Linked DNA regions of Saccharomyces cerevisiae S288C. Changing the gene in region 4 together with the main gene of any one other region gives a genetic interaction. Each region holds a gene or a part of one and is shown on either strand. Other genes may lie near its edges.

What was found.
Region 1: mutations in ERD1 (region 4) and CWH41 together harm fitness more than expected from each alone (negative genetic interaction), as found in Saccharomyces cerevisiae (3 studies listed by BioGRID).
Region 2: mutations in ERD1 (region 4) and BST1 together harm fitness more than expected from each alone (negative genetic interaction), as found in Saccharomyces cerevisiae (4 studies listed by BioGRID).
Region 3: mutations in ERD1 (region 4) and BIG1 together harm fitness more than expected from each alone (negative genetic interaction), as found in Saccharomyces cerevisiae (3 studies listed by BioGRID).

What each region holds. Positions count from the first base shown.
Region 1 is NC_001139.9:442,929-448,199, forward strand, and holds CWH41 (mannosyl-oligosaccharide glucosidase), read right to left. Parts: upstream 3,216-5,271; coding exon 714-3,215; downstream 1-713. Other genes in the region: tryptophan synthase TRP5, read right to left, coding at 3,484-5,271. UniProt on the Saccharomyces cerevisiae protein: Cleaves the distal alpha 1,2-linked glucose residue from the Glc(3)Man(9)GlcNAc(2) oligosaccharide precursor highly specifically. Seems to play a role in beta-1,6-glucan synthesis.
Region 2 is NC_001138.5:83,439-89,035, forward strand, and holds BST1 (Bst1p), read right to left. Parts: upstream 3,797-5,597; coding exon 707-3,796; downstream 1-706. Other genes in the region: alpha-factor pheromone receptor STE2, read left to right, coding at 1-437; EPL1 (Epl1p), read right to left, coding at 4,409-5,597.
Region 3 is NC_001140.6:313,938-317,637, reverse strand, and holds BIG1 (Big1p), read left to right. Parts: upstream 1-1,669; coding exon 1,670-1,779; intron 1,780-1,866; coding exon 1,867-2,764; downstream 2,765-3,700. Other genes in the region: putative serine/threonine protein kinase KIC1, read right to left, coding at 1-1,066; GEP4 (phosphatidylglycerophosphatase), read left to right, coding at 2,965-3,522; histone acetyltransferase TRA1, read right to left, coding at 3,643-3,700. UniProt on the Saccharomyces cerevisiae protein: Required for normal beta-1,6-glucan synthesis.
Region 4 is NC_001136.10:1,294,934-1,298,516, reverse strand, and holds ERD1 (Erd1p), read left to right. Parts: upstream 1-1,830; coding exon 1,831-2,919; downstream 2,920-3,583. Other genes in the region: mRNA splicing protein SYF1, read right to left, coding at 1-85; YDR415C (putative aminopeptidase), read left to right, coding at 356-1,480; rRNA-processing protein RRP17, read right to left, coding at 3,117-3,583. UniProt on the Saccharomyces cerevisiae protein: Required for the retention of luminal endoplasmic reticulum proteins, affects glycoprotein processing in the Golgi apparatus.

The DNA.
Region 1 (5,271 bases), on a different chromosome or scaffold from region 4:
TTATATCAATGAGTGTAGCGTAATAATAAGTCGATAAACAGTACAGAGAATAGAATAGATTTATTACAGTGGAGGTATGTCAGTAAAGGCTTATTCTTCTAAAAGAGTGGACTGTCTTTGTTGCGTAACTGACGATTATAGTACTGTTGCCTTAATATATAACAGTGTATTTGGATAAGCAGAAGGAAAACACGATCATTGAACTTCAATTTTCTTTCCACTTAAATAGTCCCTCCTCAGATTCTTAATTTGTTTTCGGTGCAGCATATTTTGTTGTCAGTCCTTACACTTTAACATTTTGAGATCTAGTATCCAGCTTGTAAACAATAACATTCCCTAACTTTTATTCATCTTACCGCAGTAAATAGAAAAGACCTCACTTCGCAACCATTAATCCCCAAAAGAAAAAAAAAAATGTGACATTTCATAATGCATGTTTCGAGTGTGTTTTCGATTGTTTATTTGTCTGGCTTTTAGCTGCAATGGCCCAGACTGCTAGTTACCAGTTGCTGGTTTCCACGATTTTTTAACTTTTTCTCACAGCCGCATCGAAATGTAAATAAACGCGAGAAAAAAAAAGCTGAAAATGCTGGCTCTAACTAAGAGATGCGAGGCCCTTTTCGAATAGCTGGAACATTTATAATTTTCATCCTGCATACTGGTACATATCTGGTTACATATCTGTTTATATGACTGAAAATATCTACATAGATTCAGAAGCGTCCAAGGATGTTGACAACAAGTGCTGTCCAGCCTGTGAAATGCTCAGCACCAGTACCATGACCATCTATCGGACTGTAATTTTCATAACAATAACCTTGTTCTTCCCAAACTTTGTATATGTTGTTACTGAGATTAATCTTTAAACTTTGGTACAGTTTCTTGGCATTGCTAGCCTCACCAGCCACGTCGAGAATCACCTCTGGGTAGTAGTATCTCATTGCGTCAAGACACAAGTAATTAATATTCATCCAAATTGGGCCTCTCCAATAGTTTTCATCCTTGCCGAAATAGTCGTCTTGTCTCGATAGTGATAACAGCCCGTAGTCTGAAAAGATTTTTTCTGGGTCACTCATCAAAGCAACTACTTTCTCTAGCTTGGGTGAGTTTTTGGGGATTAGCTTCAATGCAAAGGGCAATACGGAGACGTAACCCTCATGACATACAAACTCCCTAATCTCATCGTCTTCTGGATCGATGCTAATATCACAGTAGCAATTGTCATTTTCACTCCAGTGTAACAAATCCAGATTCTCGACCACCTCTTGCTCAATTTGTGCATATCTTTGCTCGTCCTGTGTTAACTTCAACACGTGAGCAATTTGCTTCATGGATCTTGTCATAACGCCCACCCATGCTAATGCGTCTACGTTCAATTCTGCTACATCTGGTGGTTGTGCTCTAGGATAGTCATCCATACCGCTTGGCAAACAATGAGTGAAGGTACGCCCAACCCATCTATAAACTTCGTTCTTATGAATCTTATCCCATATTCCTTCATCTTCCAATATTTCCTCATATTCATCAATAAGTCCTGTTTGAGATTTTCTGAACCAATTATAGTGCTTCAATAGCTTAGGATAAATTTTCTTGGCATATTCGGTTAGCAAGCCAGGATTGGCTTCTAGATTGTTCGTCATAAACTTGGCTGTCCTACTATTGAACATGACTTGGTGGTAGCTGTCACTGTTGAAATCGCCGATGTTTTCAATGGCCCTAGAAAGCATTTCACTAAATGCTAGCAATAAAGTTGGCGGATTAGCAATATTGGGATTTTGCACCTGAAATTCCTGCGGAACTTTACTCCTTGCCTCATTACCCAGTATAATTTCTCTAGCAATCCAACCACTATCATCTTCGATCATTTCAAACCAGCTCGCTAAGATTTCAAAGGCAAGGTCAAAATCATACTCCATAATTTGTAGAAGATGGAAACCTTCATCCCAATAGAATCCACGTGGGAAAAAGCCACGGCTCGGAACGCTGGTAAACAGTTCAAATGGACCTTCCTCTTTTGCATTCAGCAGTTTGATCTCTGTAAACTGGCTCTCATCAAATTCTGTTTCACGATCAATTAGTTGATTCCCATAGAAATAACCGATTCCTCCTAATAGGTTTGATAGCGTCTCTAAAGCAAATCTTCTTTTGACCTCCACGCTTTCAATTGAGTCGGGACCTTCTCCAAAACTAAACTGCTTATCAAAACGCGCGTTTATCTCATTTAGTGACCAAGTAATCAACTCCGTAACTTGTTCCCTGGTGGAAATACTTTGAGTAGTGCCAAGTTTATTGTAAGTGATATCAAATTGGAACCCATCTTTTTTGGTCAAATCAAATGTCTTTTGTATATAATGAAAATTACCAGGATTAAAATTGTACAAATTTCTAATAGTTAAAACACTTGGTATTAAATCAGCAGGACGCTGCTTTGTCTCTTCCTTTTCCAGTATATCACGTATCGAATCGCTAACTAGAGATTGGAAAACATCACGAGCCTTCCAAACTTCTTTATCCGGGATTTGAAGTGATAAATGACTTGTTTTAGAGCAGTCACTTCCTGGTGCTACTTCCATGGTTTCATATTCCGGATTTTTGAAGTAGTGACCAAAATTGTCCTTTACTGTAAGATGATACTCGCCTAATTCTTTAGAATATCCGAAGAATTTCATGTCATTAGGGCCGTCATGACCTATCATTGCTAAGGAAGATTTTCCATCTATCTCGCCACCATTTTGACTAAAGTACAATACGACAGATGCTGTAGATGGTCTCTTGGGATCCAAAGGCTCACCTTGAACTCTCACTGACCAATTTTCCCCGTTCTTGCTCTTTACAAAATAAACAGTCAAGTTCAAGTTATTTTTTTCATCAATAAAAACTTCTTTACCACCAATTCTTGGATCATACACTTCCCAACCATACTTTTGCAATTTATCCTGAGGCGTTGCAAAATGTCTTAACGAATGTAAGCCATCCTGACTCAAACTGTTGAACCACATGATACCCATAATTAGTGGACTTTCATGGACATATCTGGGCCTCATACCAAAGTAACAATTGGATCTATACGGTGCCCACAGTAAAGATTCATTCGTGAACTTTTGATATTCTTCGAATTCTTGTAGTTTACTAATATCAACGGTGGCAGATGCCAGGAGAACTATGCTGGTTAGTATCCAAAATGTTTTAAACATCTTAGATTTTGAAATAAGCATTGTGAAGCAACCTGAACCGTTATTATCCACTACTTCCTTATTAACAGTTGACGCTAATATAGTGTGTCACGCATACAATAATTGAACTTTTAAATTACGCGAAAATGTGGCTGTTCTGACCGAAATGATCTAAAATTGGTCACGATACTAATCTTGAGCAAATTGAGAGGTAAAAGAGCTGAATATGCTAATGTATCCCGATCGTATATTATATTCGTCTATGTAGTTAAAAAGCTAAATAAAAGCGTTCCTTATCAGATATTACTCATTAGGCAGATGGGTCTTCTTCGAATCTCAAATCCCAACCTATCTTTGGACCTAATTTCGGCAAGACTTCAGCGACACTTTGGACATCTTTATCACCTCTACCAGAAATATTGATAACCAAATGTTGATCAGGCTTCATCGTCTTAGCCAATTCGCAAGCGCCATAAACAGCATGAGAAGATTCCAAAGCGGGAATAATACCTTCTAATTGAGATAATAATTTAAAGCCAAGCAGAGCCTGAGCGTCAGTAGCTGCAATGAATTGAGCACGGCCAGTAGATTTCCAATATGCCAATTCTGGACCGACACCTGGGTAGTCTAACCCAGCAGAAACAGAATGAGTATCATGGACTTGACCATCACTATCTTGCAAGACATAAGTCTTGACACCATGGAAGACACCAGGTCTACCGGCAGTTAGAGTAGCAGAGTGGAACTTTGTATCTACACCATCACCACCGGCTTCCACACCCAATAACTTAACGGAAGTATCATGCTCGAATGGTGAAAACATACCTGTAGAGTTGGAACCACCCCCAACACATGCAACAACTGCGTCAGGTAATTTACCATTGTTCATGGCAGCAAACTGTTCCTTGGTTTCTTTACCAATGACACTTTGGAAAGTTCTAACCAAAGTTGGATATGGGTGAGGACCAATGGCAGAACCGACGACGTAGTAAGTAGTTTTCAAGTTAGTAACCCAAAATCTGAATGCCTCTGAAGTAGCGTCTCTTAGAGTCTTTGTACCATTAGTAACAGCAATTACTTTAGCACCGAGAATTCTCATTCTGAAGACGTTTAAAGCTTGGCGACGAACATCTTCTGCACCCATGAACACAGTACAGGTTAAGCCAAATTTAGCACATGCAGTGGCAGTGGCAACACCGTGTTGACCAGCACCGGTTTCAGCAATAACGTTCTTCTTGCCTAATCTTTTAGCTAGAAGAACTTGTGCTAAAGCATTGTTGATCTTGTGAGATCCCGTGTGGTTAAGATCTTCTCTCTTCAACCAGATTTGAGCACCTTGACAATGCTCAGTTAATCTCTCAGCTTTGTGTAGTGAAGAAGGACGGCCAATATAAGAATACAAGGATTTGAAGTCTTCCCAGAATGTGGGATCGGCGACAGCTTCATCAAAACCCTTTTCCAACTCTCTTAGACATGCATGAAGAGCTTCTGGGACATACTGACCACCAAAGTCCCCAAATCTAATTGGGTGCTTGTGATTTTCATCAAATTCGTCCAGTATTTCCTTCTTAACGTTTGCGGACTTCAAGGACTCTTTTTGAAAGGCAAAGAATTCGTCCTTGGACAGAACCTTATGCTTAGCACCATTTAGAATTCCCTGTACATATTCCTTAGCAACGTCGTACCTTTTGCCCTCTGGAGCATCTCCACATAATGTGACGATTTTGGAACCAATCACTACACCGTCAGCAACACTACCAACTGATTGGAAATGTTCTCTGGTAGAGACACCAAACCCAACGGCCAAAGGAGTATCCTTGGTGTACTTTCTGACTCTAGAGATGAGTTCATCCAAATCACTGGCCACAGAACTTTGAACACCAGTAGTACCCATTCTAGACACAACGTAGACAAACGAATCGGCAATATGCGATAGTAATTCCAATCTTTCGTCGGTGGTAGAAGGAGCCACTAGTGGGATCAGGCTCAAACCATTATCATTGATGTAGTTTCTGACCTTCAACGCCTCCTCTGGTGGCAAATCGACGATGATAAAACCATTAGCACCAGCCTTGGCAGCGTCCTGAATAAATCTTTC
Region 2 (5,597 bases), on a different chromosome or scaffold from region 4:
TGTCTTTACCATTATCATCAATGTGGGCCACGGCTGCTAATAATGCATCCAAAACAAACACAATTACTTCAGACTTTACAACATCCACAGATAGGTTTTATCCAGGCACGCTGTCTAGCTTTCAAACTGATAGTATCAACAACGATGCTAAAAGCAGTCTCAGAAGTAGATTATATGACCTATATCCTAGAAGGAAGGAAACAACATCGGATAAACATTCGGAAAGAACTTTTGTTTCTGAGACTGCAGATGATATAGAGAAAAATCAGTTTTATCAGTTGCCCACACCTACGAGTTCAAAAAATACTAGGATAGGACCGTTTGCTGATGCAAGTTACAAAGAGGGAGAAGTTGAACCCGTCGACATGTACACTCCCGATACGGCAGCTGATGAGGAAGCCAGAAAGTTCTGGACTGAAGATAATAATAATTTATGATCAAAATTTACGGCTTTGAAAAAGTAATTTCGTGACCTTCGGTATAAGGTTACTACTAGATTCAGGTGCTCATCAGATGCACCACATTCTCTATAAAAAAAAATGGTATCTTTCTTATTTGATAATATTTAAACTCCTTTACATAATAAACATCTCGTAAGTAGTGGTAGAAACCACCTTTGCTTTTACGAGTTCAAGCTTTTTTCTTGCCATGATCTAGAACTCTCAGGCAATATATACAGTTAATCTTTTTTTACTGGGTTGTAGTTCTAATGTATTGTTTCGAAAAATAGCAACCAGGCACATATTATGTTCACCAAGTGGTGTATCCAGTACAGATTTCTTATTCCATAAATGAAACTGAAAACGGTTAAGTACACAAATAAAATGATGGTAACTTTACCATCCCACGTGTCTAAAGGTACGCTGTTTGGCATTTTGAAAATAGAATTATTTCCAACCAAAAAAATAATTGGTGCCACTGCTAGTATATTGTGATGGGATCTAAATGAAGTTTCCCATTTGATGGCAACATTATGCAGGAAAACAATAATGATAGGGATGTTAATGGCACTAACAAATAATAAAAGCAGAAGCAACGTCATATTATAATTTAGTAAGTTCAATTTCTGCTCGTTGTTTGATAGTTTCAACAGCGCTACTCTAATGCAGGTAGCAATTTGGATTACTAATGAGATAACAAACGCCATCTGGTATGGTATGTGAAAAAATACCAACAGTAATAAAAGCACAGATGCCATTAATCTTCCCTTACCATACGCTTTATGTTCAATAGTATCAAAAGCCTCTTTATCTTCAGTGTTTTTCTTTGATAACTTCCGTTGAAGGAATATTACTAAAATTTCCAAGGATCCAAAAATCTTAGAAACTAGTGCTAGTAATCCAACTGTCATAACCCCAAAGAGAATTCCAATAGTTGACATAAACCAATCTCTGATCCCCAAATAATAAAAATTTGCATGCATGTTTCTCTCGGATAGCAGAAATGGATAATTTAAACCGACAGGATCCAATAAATAAAGTATTCGTTGTACCAACTTATTATTAACCACAGGCGAAGCTAAGAACAGCGTAAAAAACATTAATATTCCGTGCTTTCTTAAAATATATCCCAAAGTGCTATCAAAGGAAGGAAACTCAGATGTCTTGTTGTACCAGTAGAACTGGTATGACAGTACGAGTGCTATAAACGCGACTGGAAAAGATGCTAGTGCTAATCTGTACCTGATAAACAGCATTTTCAAAGTTAAAGACCAATTAATAGTCATTTTAGCTTCTAAGGACATTCCGGGTGGAATAAAAAAACTTAATTGTAGCGATCTCGGTTCGCTTTCATTTAATGGGATAAACGGTGCTACATTATGCATATTTATATCGAGACTTTTGTTTATAATATTTAGATGCCATTTAGACTCGAAAGGTTCGTAAACCCATTGCCTTATGAAAGGCTGAAACAATGTCTCTTCGGAAGCAATACCTTCGTTGCTTGCCTCAATCTTGGTTTCTAATTTGTACGATAATAAAGAATCCCACAAATTACTGAAACTTATAACCTGCTCGATGTCTTTGCCATCCAAGTGTAGTTGTTCTCCAAAGAGCAATATTTGAGAAGGTGTAGTATTGACTATTTGTACATTGGAGACGTTGCGCAGTAATGCCAAAAGAAACCCCTGATTGTCCTCCATGCCTTCTTGTTCTGAAAATTCACCGTAAGTGGGTTTGCTTATCATCAAGTAGTCGTACTTCTGTAGTATATTCTTGCCAACACTAACGGCTTTAAACGGATTTTTTGCTTCTCCAAAAGAAGAATCAGCTGCGAACTGAGTATCTTTTGAAGACCTGGGCACTGTTAGAATACTATCAACAGCTGTTATACAGCTTAGATTCACCCTGGACTCTGTACAGAAATAGATCATAGGCATATCGAGACTAGTTAATAATGTGAAATGCAGGTGTTCAGTGGAGGAGATGTTACTCGGAATATTTATTTTTGTATAATTGTTGTGCCACTTTTCCAGGTTAAACATTTCAAAATCTAGGACATCGTTCATTTCCAAAGTAGCGTAATCAGAAAAGAAGTTGTCACTAAATTCTTGTAAGTTTTCTTGAGGATAATTTAACTTACTATTCATCCATGAGTAGTCTTCAAACCCTGAAAGCAATAGTTTTCTAGCGATTTGCAATCTCTGATTCAATGGCTTAACTTTTTCAGGTTTGGAGGCATCTATACTTTCCAATAAAAGGCGCGCTAGTACCTCTCTTAATTGCTTGCACCAAACAATGGCTAAATGATCAATTGGAGTCCAAACATCTGGAATAGTAGTTGTGAAGCTGGTGAACCCATTTTCTAAGCTAACCAAATCTTCTACAGATGCATAATCTGCAGGTAAAGTAGTATCCAATATACCGCCTGTAATGGAAACCAATGAAATGTTCTTAGAGAAAAAAGAATCGTTTTGGGATAACTGCTTTCTCCAATATTCGTTTGTATTTTTGTAAAGCTTTAAAATGTCACCATCAAAGGTTACTGGTGAAGCAGCATGAGGTGATGATAAGGTCAATATGGTGCTTATACTTCCCGGTACGTGGTTCTTCAAAGTTAGCATGACCCTGGATACAATACCGCCCATGGAATGTCCCACGATAATAACTGACTGCGGTTTTGGATGTGGGTAATCAGGGGTCCTTTCGTAAAGAGACAAGATGTACTTAATGGCATCATTTAGGTATTCAGCTTGATCAAGCATTGTTTCACCATGAAACGCAGTGAAATCTTCATTGAAATCTGCCGTAAAGAAGTCCAAATTTCGCACATTTTCGTTACGCAGAGTCGCCCTGGTATTGGAATCAAAATATATATTGGAGCAAGCGGAAGCAATCGATCTGCATTGCCTAAAAGAACCTGCATTTCCGGGTATAAAAAGTACAGGGATACCATCAAGTTGTAACTCATCACCATTTAAAGGTTCTCGGTCTACGCTTTGTTCTCGATACAAGTAAAGATGATACTTGTGTGCCAGTGGTGTATACCTCTCGTCAAATCCATCGATCCTTGCGTAAGATGGAAACATATAGATAGATTCACACTGAGGAGCATCTGCACCATTAAAAGGTTTCAGTAGCGATATCAATAAAAGCGAGCAAATGCTTAAAATGCCAAGAATAGAGAAAAGGCGATATGTGTAAGGTTTTTTTGCTATCTTATCATTGTTCATATATTTGGGGGAAGCTTTATCCTGGTCTTCACGCGTAGCGAGTACTCTCGAGTATTGACCAGATGAGTTAACTTTATTAATTATGGGCCGCGTTATAACACTAACTAATCTCCTGATACCCATAACGAAATGAAGATTTTTGTATGATGGTAAGCCTAAGATATAGGCCAATGCTTTAAAGTAGAGGGAGTATTTCGAGTGTGAATTTACTATCAGATGGAACTGCAAGGAATGTGTTGAGACTCATTTTTACTTTTTCTTGTTATGACTTGGTTGGTATATTTAGACCTTTTTCAAAATTCGCGCCATACAGGAAAAAAAAATGGATAATAAGAAGAAATGCATTTATTTGAGGGTACCTAGTGAGTTATGCAATTGTCTATATAAGAGTATGAATCTAACTTAAATACATCAAGCATTTGGGATGAAATCATGCGAAAAATCAAAAGGTCACAACCGTGTGAAATGGAAATTAAAAAAAACGTTAAAAATATGTAGTCTTGTGAAGGTGATAATATTACAGCCGGATGATACTTGCTATTTTTCTTTTGAAATTTATTGTAGTTATCTTTTTTTGTTTTTTGTTTTTTTTCATTATTATTGCGTTATCGGTGTTCATTTCGGTGATTTGAATCTTCAGTAATGTTGCCTCGACTTTCGTAGTAAACTTTGAATGTCAGGTTTGTTAAATGCCAATGCGTAGAAAGATGTTCGAGAGGTACAAAGTTGTGCTGCTCATGATGAATTTTTCTGGGTTATAGAAGAGTTCTGTTTCGCTTCTGAATTGATTAACGAATCATTTAATTTTTTTAGGGAGTTCGAAGAATTTGAATTATTGTTCTGTGATTTCTGCTTTTGTTGTTGTGCTTGCTGCTGTTGCTGCTGCTGCTGTTGTTGTTGCTGTTGTAAATGTTGTATATGCTTTTGTTTCAGTCTGGTGATATAGTCCCTACGATACTTTATGGTGGCTTCCCTTAATTGTTCGTAGGACTTCGTACCCAACATTGTTCCGAATCTAATCACCTGAGTATCATTTGAAATCTGGTTAAGTCTTGCCGGTTCATCTGAAAACTTGATCCCATATTCATTTTGTGGAGAATCATACTTCCACTTGTCGTAAAGTCTGACAAATTCGTCGTATTTGGAATCGTAAACATTAATCGAGTCAGTATCGTTACTACCTTCTCTTGAATATTGTTCTTTTTCGATTGAATCGAAATCTACAAAATCCATTAAAGAACATGCAGACTTGGTCGACGATGTTGTAAAATTTGGCATACGATCAACATACTTAATATTAGATCTACCAACTCTCTTCCTGAATTTTATTGGATACTCTCTCGAATGAATTTCCAAATTTTCTTGGAATGGGTCGTACAGTTCAGTTTTTTTGATTCTTTTGGTATCCAAGTTGTAATTATCTTTGTTTCTCGAACGGCCATTTGAATCATATATTCTGATGTCATCAGATATCCCCTTCAAGTATTCTGGTAAATGTGAAGAATAAAAAGATCTATCTATCTGAAACTTGGATGACGCGATAGATGCAAAGGGAACATTACTAGTCGAAAAATTTTTAGGCAACGACATGTCAAATACAGGATTAAAGGGATCGTCCGTTAAGTTGAAAAAGACATCTGCGTCTTCAATTTTCCGTTTCTCCATCTTTTCCTGAACGAACTTTCTTGCATTTTTTTCTTTGCTGTTCAATAGAGCATCCACGTCTTCCAATACAATGTCAGGAATTTTGGAAGATGGTAGTTTGACATAAACATGAGACGTAATTGGCTGTGATGTTGAAGAAGAGGATGCATTCGCGAGTTGCTTTCCGTTTTCAGTCTTAAGGGCATTTTGCTGTTGTTGTTGTTGTTGCTGTAACAGTTGCTGCTGTTGCTGCTTGGTGAGCCTAGAAGATTTGTCTTCA
Region 3 (3,700 bases), on a different chromosome or scaffold from region 4:
TCATTTCCACATCGCCTTCGTTCACTCTCTTAATTTCATTATCATTTGATGCTATTGACTTTTGTGCTTCATCACCCCCGCCATTTTGTGATGGTTTTGGAGCTTCACTGGGTTTTGATGGCTCATTTTCCGGTATACTGCCCTCTATTTTATATTTGTTTTTATTCTTGTCCCTAAATAGTAGATATCGTGATATTAGTTCTTTCAAAATGGACGTTGGCGTCGCCTTGTGGGCCCTGATAAATTTTGATTTTAAAAGATCGTCTGCTGACAATCTCTCCTTTGGATCCTCATCAAGACAAAGCGCAATAAATTCTTTCAAAGATGTACTGTATGATCTGTCCTCAAGCCTCGGTGGTTTCGATTTGATGATTAGTTGCATTGCCCTTAGGGCCTCCACATCGCAGTATGGCGGATTTCCGGTGGCAATCTCGTACGTTGTAATACCTAAAGACCATATATCTACTTTAGTGTCGTAATAAACGCCTTCCATGATCACTTCTGGAGCCATCCAGTAGGGGGTCCCAGCCATAGTTTGACGTCGTAAAGAAGTTTGGTTTACTTGTGCAGCGACACCAAAATCGCATAGTTTAACATTACCTTCGTTAGTGATCAGAACGTTTGCTGCTTTGATATCTCGATGAATGACGTTATCTTTATGAATGCATTTTAATGCTACAAGCAGTTCTCTCATAATAACCCCAATGTACTTTTCATCGATTTTGCCTGGCCTTAACAACGAACGCAGTGAACCACCAGCGCAGTGTTCCATTATGATCCAAAGGCTTGTGTCTTTCAAATACGACCCATAATACCGCGTGATATTGGAAATCTGTTTCAAGGAGGCCAAAAACTGAATTTCTCGCTGCACATCCTCCACCTCGTCAGAATCAGAATCTAAATTTAAGACTTTGATAGCATACACTCGTCCAGTCTTCACGTTATAGCCCTTATAAACCACACCAAATTTCCCTCGCCCAATAACTTCCGTTCTCTTGAAAAGTGAACTCACATCCATCTCTCCTTCGGCTAAACCCTGCTTACTATTTTGTGGCTTCGTCGTCATTACTGCCTGTTCTCTATACGTGTTTTGCTTGCCAGTCGATGGCGCCCAAATTTATACTTTTTGTTTCTTTATCTGTGTACTGTTAAAAGTAGTACTGTTAAAAGTAGTAAGCTCCTTAGAAAGCGGTTCCGCCTAATAGTTCCTAACTTGTTGTATGTGGCTTCACGTAGGACGAGTTGCCTCTGTTCTTCTTTGACTTTTGCCACGTCGGCAAGCTGCTGCTCTTGTTGATGCCTTTAAAGATTGTCAGATCGGCCTGAGATCGACGTGTGGCATGATAATGTTGCTCGATGGGCTGTAAATAGATAAGAAAGAGTGAAACGAATAGAGTAACGAGGCCACAGATGTGGCGAAACCTGGGAGGATATGTTCTAACGTTATCTAGAGTTCTGATAGAGCATTGTATGCGATAGTACCGCTGACATATGTGCATTCTTTAATTATATCGATGATATCATGCAACACGGGTTAGCTCTGTAGTAATGTAAACCTCTCTTAACTACGGCCAAGAATATCAGCAGCGGAGGTTAAGTTGCAGGTTATACCTATCTGTTTTGTAGTTAGGAAACGTAGGCGCATACTAATTAGGAGTAGCAAGGCAAGATGCAAACTGTGTTGAAATATTTGTTGCTTATTATGTGTGGAAGCTTTTGTGCTTCGGAGGAATTGCAAAACCAGACCAATGTTCCTGCAATATTCTTCTCTTACAAACTGTATGTAGAACAAGAAACATTAATCTTTAGTAACTTTCATTTTTCTTACTAACTAGATGTTATACACATATTTGTACTTTTGGATAGAACTCCCGGTATTTTAAAGTATCAAGAGGATTATGATAGGGCTGTGACTTTACCAAGAGACACCTTTATTGAAGCGGCTGAGAAATTCTTAGGTGTATGTAATGCTGACACTTATGTGTTTATTAATCAACCAGGCCTGAGGAAATTGGACTTCTTGGAATTTGAAACAGAGTTTGTTTCGTTACAGAGATATATAAGACGGAGTTCAACCGCGATTAAGTTCGAAAAGGTAGACCTATTGCCTCAAGATTTATACTATGATCTTGCAGAGTTTGTAAAGGAGTATTGTAACGTAGACCAGGTGTTGAACTTACGAGGTAATAATACAGAAGATTTCCAGCCCTTTATTGATAGCGAAAAAAGAGTGATTATAATAGAGTACCCTAAGTTACCAGAGGACACTAATGAACGTAAAGAAGCATTCCGCCATTATGACAAGTATTTGAGGACTATACTGGCGCAGATTCCGTCGCCAGAACAAAATGTCATTTACACCTCGTTAAACCCAGGAACTACGCTGGCTCACGAGTCGATCATCCCTATCCAAATATTTCCAGATATCTTTGACATAAAATCCAGAGTGGGTGAAGTGGAACAAAATAATAGAGTTTTGGATGTGCCTCGTCTGTCGTTTAATGACTATACTCCACGATTTTCAGAGCCACCTTCGGAGTATGTCTCAATATTTGATTCACAATTAATTGAGAATAACAGAGGTTTATTACAGCTGATTTTCACAATTTTGGTTGGGTATATTCTTATTCAGTTTTTTTTCACAAAAAAAACTATTGTAGATGAGAAGATTACTAATAAAAAGGACAACGTGAAACAGACGTCACCACAACTGCTCAAAAAAGTGCAAGAGATCCAGAAAAAGCCATCCCAGCAAGTATCTTGATTATGGTTCGTTATATACATCGATTCTTTGCAAAATTATCCATGAGAGACTTCGCGCCATGCTACAATTTACCAATGCGCATCGAGAAATTTATGCTATCGCATTTAATATGATATAATTATCCGTCTGTTTATATATATATATATATGGGGCCAAACTGAAAGGCGGCAGTTACATTACATCGTCTCCTCTACCTAGTCATGAACATCAGTGGCACCTTAAATACGCTCCGGTTGCTTTATAACCCATCACTGTGTAAGCCTAGTCTAGTTGTCCCCACTTTTAACGATCTTCCTATACCAATCCACGATTCTATAAAGGCCGTGGTCTTGGATAAGGACAACTGCATCGCCTTCCCTCATGATGACAAAATATGGCCAGATTACTTGCAACACTGGGAAACCTTAAGGTCGAAATACTCTAACAAAGCACTCTTGATTGTTAGCAATACCGCCGGTTCCAATTCTGATAAGGACTATTCGCAAGCAAAACTTTTGGAAGATAAGACAGGTATACCTGTTTTGCGGCACTCTACAAAGAAACCAGGTTGTCACAACGAAATATTAGATTATTTTTATAGAAACAAAACCATAACAAATCCAAAAGAGGTTGCTGTTGTTGGAGATAGGCTTTTTACTGACATCTTGATGGCAAACCTAATGGGTTCATACGGGGTGTGGATTCGAGATGGTGTTAAAGTTTCGGCAAATCCTCTCTCCAAGTTCGAAAAAAAATTATACAACTTTTTGGGATTTTGATTAGGCAACTTTAATAAAAAGTAAAACATTTTAATTTTTTATATAGTACATATTTTTTGAGGCTTTCTCTACCTTCATTAAATACAGAGAAAAGGCCGGAAACTAACCCATGTATCAGCTCTAGAACCATGGCATGAAGTTCACGTCTGTTCTTGCTAAGTTTCTTGGACTGACAGCG
Region 4 (3,583 bases):
CGTACTCAAAAGCCACATCTTCATCATTTCTTATGTTCTCATCGACGTTTGTTATTACTCCTTTCATTGCGATGTATGCTGACATAGGATATATGGACACAATAAGTTTTGCGGTACTGAAGGATAGTTGAGTCCAATATGGAGGCCTGATTATTTCCTTTTTTTCTATCTATTTCCTTTTGTATTATTTTGACTGAAAAGCTTGCCAGCGTCTTTACTAAAATCTTTCATATGTTCGGACCGCTATAGTAAACTGAAACTTGATATTCAATAATTATCAATCTTCGAAGCTAAAGAAATACAAAATCTTTATTCGAAAAAGTAAGTAACATAATCAACCGCTGATTAGCACAATATGAGGATACAGTCGCTTTTTGTTTTATTTAATGTTGCCATCATCGCATGGTCATATCCATATGAGCCTTTAAGGGTTTTACAAGTAGGAGAGAATGAGGTAATGGAGGTTCCCGAATCAGAAAAGCTAAACTTACGAAGAAGAGGTGTCAAATTCTTTGATGTGACCAAACACACTTCTTTCTTACCTTTCTTTAACAAGGAGGAAGAGCCAACAGTACCAACGTATAACTATCCTCCTGAGATATCGAACAAAGAAGTAGTGGATGATTCGATTAAGAATATAGACAAGGGCTCTATGCACAAGAACTTGGCAAAGTTTACAAGTTTTTACACCCGTTACTACAAGTCCGATCACGGCTTTGAATCTGCCGAGTGGTTAGCTGCAACTATCGCTAATATTACAAAAGATATTCCGCAAGATACGTTGACTATTGAACATTTTGATCACAAAGAATGGAAGCAATATTCAATTATAGTCCGTGTCACGGGATCTACTACGCCAGAAGATATTATAATAATTGGTTCTCATCAAGATTCTATCAATCTGCTACTGCCATCCATAATGGCAGCTCCAGGTGCGGACGACAATGGGTCAGGCACGGTGACTAATATGGAGGCTCTCAGATTATATACGGAAAATTTTTTGAAGAGAGGATTTAGACCTAACAACACTGTGGAATTTCACTTTTATTCCGCCGAAGAGGGGGGATTGTTGGGTTCTCTTGATGTTTTTACAGCTTATGCCAAACAGAAAAAGCATGTGAGAGCGATGCTTCAGCAAGACATGACGGGATATGTTTCTGATCCAGAAGATGAACATGTGGGGATTGTCACCGACTACACTACTCCCGCATTAACTGATTTTATAAAACTAATTATCAACTCTTATCTATCCATTCCTTACAGGGATACACAATGTGGCTATGCTTGTAGCGATCATGGGAGTGCCACCAGAAACGGATTTCCAGGCTCCTTCGTGATTGAAAGTGAGTTCAAAAAGACTAACAAGTATATTCACAGCACCATGGATACTTTGGACAGATTAAGTCTCGCTCATATGGCGGAACACACAAAAATTGTATTAGGGGTAATCATTGAACTCGGGTCATGGTCCGCTTGGTAAAAGTCAGTAATATGCATACATAACTAATGATGCCTTACCTTGGTGTTCTTTTGTAATATACCTAAACCGATATCACGCTAGTATTTATTTCCCGAATTTTTTTGGCGTATTTCGTCATCTGAAAATAACATAATCAATGAAAGAAATAGAGTCAGTTGCAAAAAGTGCAAGCCAGCGCTAACCGCTCCCGATTTAGTCGCAATATTGATGGCAAACAGTACCAAAAACTGGTTACCCATATAAATTGTTTGGCATTGTTATTATTGTTATAAATTATTATTGTTATTATTATAAATTATTATTAGTATTATACAAAGTTTTCAATTCTGCAACAAGTTGGGCCGCAAAATATGGAGAAAAGCGAAAGTAATTCTGAAGGACTTTATCTCCAAAATATATTAAATGTTCCCCCTCCGCAGCGATTTATTGTGCTCATAATACTTGCCCTTTGGATCTGGACATGGATATTAAAATTCTTCTTGCATAGTAATTTAGACGTATCCCAAGTCATACTCACGAGAGTACCGCACGATATACGTCCAGGTTATACTCTACAGCAATTGCATAGAACAGCTAGAAATTTTGCTTTGAAGATAACAAGGATTATTATACCGTTCCACTTTGCCACTGTGTTCCTTTTTGAGTTCATGAATATTATAGAAGGTCCACTCAAAAATATCATTCTCATCGTATATTTTCTACCATTGATCCAATGTGTCACTATATTTTGGTTTCTGTTGAAAGAGTGCCAGATAATAAAATATTGTACTAGGAGATGTTTGTTGATAGAATCCTCCCCCCGTTCCTTAAGGAATACCTACATTTTAATCTCTGACACGTTGACATCGTTTGCAAAACCATTGATAGACTTCACATTGTTTACCTCTCTAATTTTTAGAGAACCCTTCACACATTTTGATCTATCCGTAGCCCTTCTTCCTGTACTGGTAAGACTACTGCAGTGTTTGAGAGAATACCGTTTACTGCACGAAGCAACTTTACTATTCAATGCATTGAAATACAGTTGTAATCTTCCCATTCTTTTTTGCACCTGGAGATCAAGAGTGTATGAGGGATCCATCAACGAAGAAAGACTACACCACGTTCAAAGATGGTTTATGCTAATTAATTCTTCCTATACGTTATTTTGGGATGTAAGGATGGATTGGTCATTGGACTCGTTAACCTCTTTAAGATCCAGATCCAAAAGTGCCGTCACATTAAAGAAAAAAATGTATCATTCGGCGATTCTCGTTGACTTTTTGCTGAGGTTCTGGTGGCTATGGGTATATTTATCGCAGAATCTGAAATTAGTTGCCGCAGATAGCGACTACATTTTTTTCCAAGGCGAAATGCAGTATTTCGAAGTAATTAGAAGAGGCATATGGGTCGTTTTCAAATTGGACGCAGAGTATTATATTAAGTTTGCAAGCAAATAATTTGTTGGGCAAGCCATATAAAATCATGCAAATGCTGTAAATATTTGTTCTATTTTCCCCGTAGAATGGTTTATTCGATATATTACATATAATAAACGAAAAATACATATGCACAGTATATACTTTTCCAAAAAAAAATCAAACACTGTTTGAGCGTCAAGAAACCCCAGGCGGTGCCCGACGATAATGCGACTGCATTATCTCCTACGCTTGTTGTCGTTTGCCTTTCTTTGGTTTATTCTTCGTTCATTTTTGGTCAAATATCTGAACTTTTTTACTCTTGGCTTCTTCTTTTGTTTCTCATCCACGCCCAGAAACTTCGCGTATTTGGTGGCTCTATTTATGCTTTGTTTGAGTACTTTTTCTGCCTTTTCTAATTTGACATTATTTAGCTGGGCTAAATATTCAAAGTTATCATTGGGTTCCAATGTCTCCAATTCAACAGTAGTTGAGTCATCGTATATTTCCGTGATTGCTCCTTTCTTCAAAATAGGCTTTACGCTACTTTCATTATTGTCGTTATCGCCGTCATCTTTATCAGAATCAAACCCGTGCCAGGATTCATCAGATTCTACCTGCAAATCCTCCGTCTTATCATTTTTCGCATCCTCTATCTCAGCTTCCAAGTTTAAACTCTCTTTAAACGTCTTTAACTGTTCTTCCA